Daphnia pulex: one gene and its partner. The protein of the gene in region 2 interacts with the protein of the main gene of each other region in a pairwise test. Links are inferred from orthologs where the notes say so. Each region holds a gene or a part of one and is shown on either strand. Other genes may lie near its edges.

Evidence for each region.
Region 1: the proteins of ribosome biogenesis protein BRX1 homolog (region 2) and probable rRNA-processing protein EBP2 interact in binary tests that used the Drosophila melanogaster proteins (3 or more experiments, as listed by UniProt). The link is inferred for Daphnia pulex from reciprocal best matches to the Drosophila melanogaster genes CG11583 and CG1542.

What each region holds. Positions count from the first base shown.
Region 1 is NC_060022.1:62,579-65,957, forward strand, and holds probable rRNA-processing protein EBP2, read right to left. Parts: upstream 2,070-3,379; 5' UTR 1,968-2,069; coding exon 1,896-1,967; intron 1,834-1,895; coding exon 1,750-1,833; intron 1,688-1,749; coding exon 1,376-1,687; intron 1,314-1,375; coding exon 1,042-1,313; intron 973-1,041; coding exon 708-972; 3' UTR 651-707; downstream 1-650. Other genes in the region: eukaryotic translation initiation factor 4E type 3-like, read left to right, coding at 1-79, 142-241, 310-347; uncharacterized protein LOC124195596, read left to right, coding at 2,645-2,710, 2,886-3,007, 3,068-3,163, 3,233-3,379. UniProt on the Drosophila melanogaster protein: Required for the processing of the 27S pre-rRNA.
Region 2 is NC_060022.1:6,872,230-6,876,047, reverse strand, and holds ribosome biogenesis protein BRX1 homolog, read right to left. Parts: upstream 2,100-3,818; 5' UTR 1,963-2,099; coding exon 1,852-1,962; intron 1,794-1,851; coding exon 1,638-1,793; intron 1,576-1,637; coding exon 1,455-1,575; intron 1,400-1,454; coding exon 1,275-1,399; intron 1,213-1,274; coding exon 1,077-1,212; intron 1,014-1,076; coding exon 919-1,013; intron 862-918; coding exon 562-861; 3' UTR 514-561; downstream 1-513. UniProt on the Drosophila melanogaster protein: Required for biogenesis of the 60S ribosomal subunit.

The DNA of each region.
Region 1 (3,379 bases), about 6.8 Mb from region 2:
ATTCTGTGATTATGTGGAACCAGGAGATGATATTTGTGGAGTGTCTGTTTCTGTCAGAGACAGAGATGATATTGTTCAGGTAATATTAGGCTCATTTTCAACTCTGACAAAAATTTAAGTCTCTATCATACATTTTAATAGATATGGAACATAGACAGCACTAAAGCTGACAAAGCCAGGATAATTCAGAAGATTCAAGAGCTTTGTCCCAATATAGAGTTCCAGGCTGTCTTTTACAAGCGTAAGAATGATTTGTTGTTTCTTGAGCTATTGGAACATGTCATTACCTTTTTTTAATTTTTAATTTAGCACACCAAACTCACCATGCTTATGAAGGCGCCAAATAATAATAATAGGGTATACGCTGCCACGTACGCATAAAAATGACGGGAATAAGATTCGTCTAAATAATTTACACCTGTCAAAAAAATCTATCCCCGTATCATTAGTTCTTGTTTTATATTTTGTTTTCAGAGGGAACCAAATAAGGTCGTTCCCATTCAGTAGTTGCGTAATAGGGATAATATTTACCCGCTTTCAGTCGATCTGTTTTATCTTCAAAAAGAAAAAAGAGTATAATACTTGTACATTCAAGAAAACCTGGCCAAATATGTGTAAATACGAATAAAGTACACGCGATAAAAACGTCATTACTGTGTCACATCGTTTAATTCATTGGAAAGCAAGTCGTTTAAACATTTAGTTTTTTAACGTTTACGGGCACCACCACCACCTTTGGCTTTCTTGCCTCCTCCTTGTTTCGCTCGGCCGCCTGGTCCACCTCGTCCTGCTTTGCTGTTTCTGTCGTTGCCGGAATCTTTTTTCATGTTGTTCTTCTTTGAACCGCTTTTTTTGCCACCAAAGCCAAATTTGTTTTCTTTCGACGCGCGTTTATCACCTTTGCCTCCTCTACCCTTCACGGCACCCTTGCCTTTACCCTTGCCTTTGACTGGGCCTTTGCTCATGGGTTGACTATAGAATTAAAAACGACAATTAAATATAGCACAACATTAAAATAATTAAAAATATAGTTGGCATTACAAGACTTTGGATTCGTTCCTTTCCTTCGTCTTTTGCTTGGTGATTTCCACCATGTTTTTCTTCTTGCCGCCGTCATCGTCGAGGAAATCGAGTGAAGCCAATTTGCCTTCGCGGTATTGCTTGACTTTGGAAAGGAGCTCCTTCTTCTCCTTGGCGCGTTGAAGACCAACTTCAATTTGGACTTTTTTACCATATTTCTTGAGCTCTCTGAGTTTTTTAACTTTCTGACATTTTTCCTGGGCCATCTGCTGCGTAAGAACTCGCCTTTTGACCTATCACAAATAATAATGCTGGTATTACAGCTCCTTGACAAAACATTTAACAAAAAAATCACCTTCAACATGTGATCGTCAGATTTTGCCATTTGAGCAAAATAGTCTTCTGGTCTCTTTGTGGGAATTCCTAGTGTTTTGAGTCTGGCAAGCCCTTCAATGATGGCACTCTGTGCTTGGCGGTAAAACAATGTTTCCCTCTGCAGATCATCGACGATTCTGTCCCCAGGAGTTTCAATCTTGTACTGTGGTTCAGTATCCTCTTTGCCATTGAGAATGCTATCGACAATTGGCTCTAGTGATGTGGTCAAGTCAAGTCTTTCAACCCAGTCCAACTTCAGATGTATATCGCTTAGCTTCGAATTCAGCAAGGTCTGAAGAAGATATAAACACATTAGCAAAATGACTCAACTTGAAAAGAAAATGTACGCATTACAGTGTTGTTGGTAAAGGTCCGTGCAACTTCTTCTTTTTGGTTCAATCCGGGTTGCACCTCGCCTCTCTGATAGGCTTCTAGCAGCTGAAAATAACAATTGAATATTGAGCAACACAAAATGGAAAAAAAACGACAAAACTAAATACCTCTTCATCAGAATCAACTTCACTTTCATCGCTATCAGAGCTGGATTCATTGACGGGGAGTTTTCTCTTCATTGTGAATTAATAATTATCAACTCTTTTTTAGGCGTCCTTAACCACGAGTTGACGGCACCGCAATTCTTTCTGGCAGAAAAGCAGACAAATTTCAAGCACGTGTTTATACCTTTATGGAGTCACCCTAGCGGGAAGGCATTGAACCTCTTTGTACGGCAGCGTCTCATGGGGTTAGGCAACCCGTGAAACTGAAAGGAGACGTGGCCTTGAGTTTTTCTTGTTCGACGTAAACAAAGGTTGCCGTTCCCGTCCTTCGATGTTCTGTAGCAAAATACAGATGATAGAGATAGAGAAGAGGAAGAAATATGGTGTTGCTCATTTTCTATCTCGCCAACTAGTGACTGCTGCGTTAACTAGTAAATGTTAGGCCAGTCTCGCGAGTTATTTTAAATGTAGGGGGTGGAGAATCAGGATTTTGGATCCCGTCTACGTAAGCGCTAGTGTCGGCCACATTTTTCGGCTGGTTTTCATCTCTCATCTGTGTAAATCAATCAAATCTATGGATTCTGTTCTATCTTTCCATTATTATTTCCACGTCGGACGTTCGGCTAATTTTGAGTTTGAAATCGTTAAAATGGTTCTGTTGTTTTGTTGTTGTCACTTTTTCTGAAGACAAATTAACGGCGCTTCTATTGTGGCCTTTGGTTGGTTGCTGTTGGTGTCAAAATTCCTAGTAAATGATGTCAAGTTTGCCTAGAAGAAAAGCTGCTGAGAATATTCTTAACAAAATTCACCAAAAGCAGGTATGAATTCCTGTTTCATAAATTTCAACCAATCTAAGTTACTTGTTTATCTGTTTGAGTAAAGACCATGTGGTTTATTGTGAATTTGCTTCGTGTAAATTGTGGTCTTCTTTGTTTCCCCCCAAATCTCCATAATGGCTCATTATCATATTGTTTACACTTTTGCTGTTTTTAGCTGACTGGAAAGTGGGAAAACTACAACTACGGACAGGGTAAAGCTTCACTCTTTGGACGCCTGAATGAAAGGCTAATCTTTCAACTAGACAAAGTAATTCCCATGTCAGCCTTAGAATCAGGGTAAAATCTCTACATTTTTAACTATCACCAAAATCAACTAATATCCGAATTTTTCAACAGACATATTCTTCTTGGGTTTTCAAAATGTGCTCAATTTTTGTTGACATACACACATTCAATGGAGCTGGAAGTAAATCTGCTGACTGTGGTCCACAAGTAAATATTCAACTAAAAATAGCAGCTTTGCACCCTATTGTGTCATCTAACTATTTAAAAACAAAACAGGTACAAGCTACATTGGTGGAATTTTGTGCCTTACAAACAGGCCAGCAAGGTTGCAGAGGTTACTTTGTTCAGCGATCAAGGAGTGTCTCTGGCTCTGCAAATAGTGTTGTGCTATTGGCCAGGTGATTCTACTCGTTTACTAGTCCA
Region 2 (3,818 bases):
GAAAAATCCAACAGTCAATAACAGCATTGCCAAATGTCCAACCCATTACTAATGTACTCCAGGTCCAGGTTACCAGATACCAGGTATTTTAATTTTTCAAGTGTAAACTCACTTAGTCCCAGCCCAGTCCTCGCTGTCCTGCAGTCCTGTGTATAGTGATGCAGTGCCAATCCACCTTTCCACCCAGTCTATATGGTCTGTCTTATATGTCAAATAAATTTATAGACTGTTTCCACCATGCACCATGAGTTAATCCAAAGACAAACACACAGGAGTCACATATCAAGACCACTTCTTTATCTGTGCTTGAGTGGGAAATCAGACCAATCACATAATGACTCGCTTAAGACATAAAAAACTTCTGATTTCAGTTCACTAAGTGAAGACATTTTAAGTTGTCTGTTTTTTTTTATTGTAATCATTTCATGTTTATTTCTAATAAAATGAAATAAAAATTACTTAACCTAAACAATTTATTGTCTTTGTTATTTAAAAGGGGAACTCAAGAAAATATCAGCGTCAGAACGGTTTGTATTCAGTACGTCGTTTACAAGACAACAGTTATTCATCGCCAGAATCACCCAAGATTTCATTAAAAATAGCTCCAGCTCTTTTCTTGCCAGTTGCTTTTGGGTTCTTCATCTTCTTTTTCTTCTCTTTTTTCTTTTTTTTCCCACCTTCACCACGATTGCTCGCAACTTCTTTAACAATTTTAGCTGCATTTTTGTCCTCAAAAACCTCTTCATCAAGCGGGTCCAAATCGCATAGATCTCCTGTCGGTTGTCTTGCTGCCAGCGACAACTTTTGCTCAATTTTCTGACGATACTTCAATCCTGTTTGTAAGTTCAGCATTCGGCGATACTAAAGAAGAAACTTGATAGGATGTGTTGTAAGTGGAAAAGGATTATTTAAAAATACCGCATTTGGCGTAACATAACTAGAATTTTCCCAAATAGTTTCTCCGCCAAAACTCCCATCGAAAACTTTGATGGGATTCAACACAAATCGTGGCCCTATACATTCGAATCATTTTAAACAACAATCTTAGAAACCAAAGGGAAAAAAAATAAAAATACCTATTTCCGCAAGCTGACCATCCTCTTCAAGAATTTGAAAGTTTCGAAACCAGATCCGATTTTCAATTATCGTAAAAGTGAAAACATGGTCAAAGAATGGTTGACTTTTGGGATGATTTTTAGGAGTTGAAAAGATCTTAAAATTTTAAAATAAAAAAAAATTATGTCATCCTGAAGAAAATATAAATAAAACCTTGCCTGTGTCATGAGTTCCTTTAATAGAGACCAATGTGGATGTGTGTCAAAACTGGAGTCAAACGATAGCAATGGTCTTGTGCCCTTTAAGCAATTTCCAGTCATTTTCAATTCTTTCATTGTGTGCACTAGTAAAAAATAATAAATTTAGTACTGATCATATTATTACTTTAATAAACTGACCATTTTCAATATAAAATTTAGCACTAGGCCCTTTTGGAACATCTGCAAGCCAAAGAAACAAATCTTGTTTTTTCCTTCCTTCAAAAAATATGCATTTACTACAATTCTTCATTTCACAAATCTACATGAAGATGTTATTTGAATATTAGTACTTAATTTATGAAATTGAAAAGAAAATGTTACTTCATTGATGACAAATAGAGGGTCCTTTCTCTCAAATTTACTTTCTGTTTTGGAGTGAGGCATCATATCACGCAAGTCAACCATCAAGTGCCTATCTCTTTGTGTTATTCCACGTGCAGCAAAGACAAGAACTCTTTGTTTGTTCACCCATTTCGCCTATTTGATTTAAGCATGAATTAAAAAAATTGTCACTGATTTTTAGATTAGCATATACCTTTTTCGTCACAGGCTCGTCTGATGTTCGCACCAATGGCAATGCAGTTTCTTCAATTTTGTTATCTTTCGATTCCGGCATGATGGTGCTCTTCTTTCTTTTCGCCATCATGAAAGTGTAAAAGCTTAAAAATTGTTAGCAGGCACTTCGAGATTTAAGCTTGAAATTCTGAACCAACTAACGACAGAATGTTGAAGCAGAAGACACAAAGACCACGTGCGAGTGAACGTATACTGCATTACTGCCTTCATTTGTTTTAAGGGTGCGTTCATAAACATATCTGATTTCTCGGCTGTCCCTAAACTGCGAAAGCGAAACGCGAAACGCGAAACGCCTAAAATGCGGAAAAGCTGTGCGAAACGGACCCAAAAGTTGGGACCCTGTTTCGCATTTTAGGCCTTGGGTCCGTACTAAAATGCGAAATCGGTGGGTGCGAAATGTCAACAGAACGTCAACAGACGACGCCATTAACATACTTGCGTCACAAAAATCTACTCGTCAAGGGGCGTATCAAGTAAGTTATCCGAGCAATCGCGATTCCATAAGCATACACGGGAAAATCCCTCTACCGGGAATCAGTTCGAACTAAATTTTCCGTGTATAAAATTTGATTGCTCCCCCCTTTCAATGTCTTAAACAAAAATAATCCCACAGCGCCCAGCGGGGTACATTAACACATTGTTACGTCGTCGACGTTCTCTATGTCATTCGATCAATCTGTTTCTCTTAGCCGGAATTTCTCTCAACAGTTGTTCGCCGAGGAAAATCGGCTGACCAAGTCAAATGGAAAAAACTATCAGCCGATAGCAGCCCGGCGTCTAAATATATATAGCTATTCGATTAAAATTTATTGAAAATGCCACCCAGCTAAAACGTGCTGAAAGCTTCTTCCGCCTCTATTCCACAAAGACTTAATTGGAGATTTCTCATTCAAGAGCTCATCCGAGGGACCCCCGTGCTCTTGAAGAAACAAGAGTAATCGAGTCGACTAAATAAATTTAATTTGATAAGACTGTTTTCCCATGAAATACAAACATTTTATTTTCAAAACTCTAGCGAAAAGTAATATTCGTTAATATATAGTGTACACAGTACACACATTCATATCCATACATACATTCACATTACATATACTATGAGTCATGAAACATGGCGGCCTAAACGGGCCTCATCCGTCAATTTGCACTCTGGTGGGGAAAAGAAAACATTTTCGTTTCGCATTTTGAGGTTTCGCATTTTAGTATGCCCTCCGGCATTTGGTCCCGCGAAACGGTCCAAAAATTTTGGTCCGTTTCGCACAGCCTTTCCGCATTTTAGGCGTTTCGCGTTTCGCGTTTCGCTTTCGCAGTTTAGGGACAGAGCCTGATTTCTCCATTCCCATTCGTGGAAAATGTTCCAATTCCAAATTTGAAAATGCTGTCTCAGACGGCCACTGGATTACGAACTTGTGCTCTAACTTAACTAAGCTATTACTAAGCTTAAATTAGTTAATATTAATAATAATTTATTTTATATAATTCCTTAATATATTATCTCTCCTCTCGCCAACACAAGACTCGAGCCAATCGCATGTCGCCATGCTCGCAAACAGATAAAGGCCTCTTCAGGAAATAAACTAAACAATAAACGAAAGCAAGGGTATGGAAAGATGGATGCCAATGACCATGTTAAATTTCCCATAAGGGGATTCGACGGCAAGCTACTTTGCTACTTTTTTACTAGCGATTTTGTATGGAGGTCGAGTTGAATCAACGCCATCTAGGACGTTGCGAGTTGCGACATATAAACAGTCAACTCGACCTTTTAGTAAAATGAGCAGACGGCCCCTTATGGGAAATTTTTAAAAATGGATGCTGGAAACCATCTCTCCATAGTCCATACTCCATACCACTGACGAAAGGCAAGGCTTTCAAAAAACAGGGTTATATGGTTGGCTGCTGTGCGAAATTGGAAGCGAAAGGAAGCTT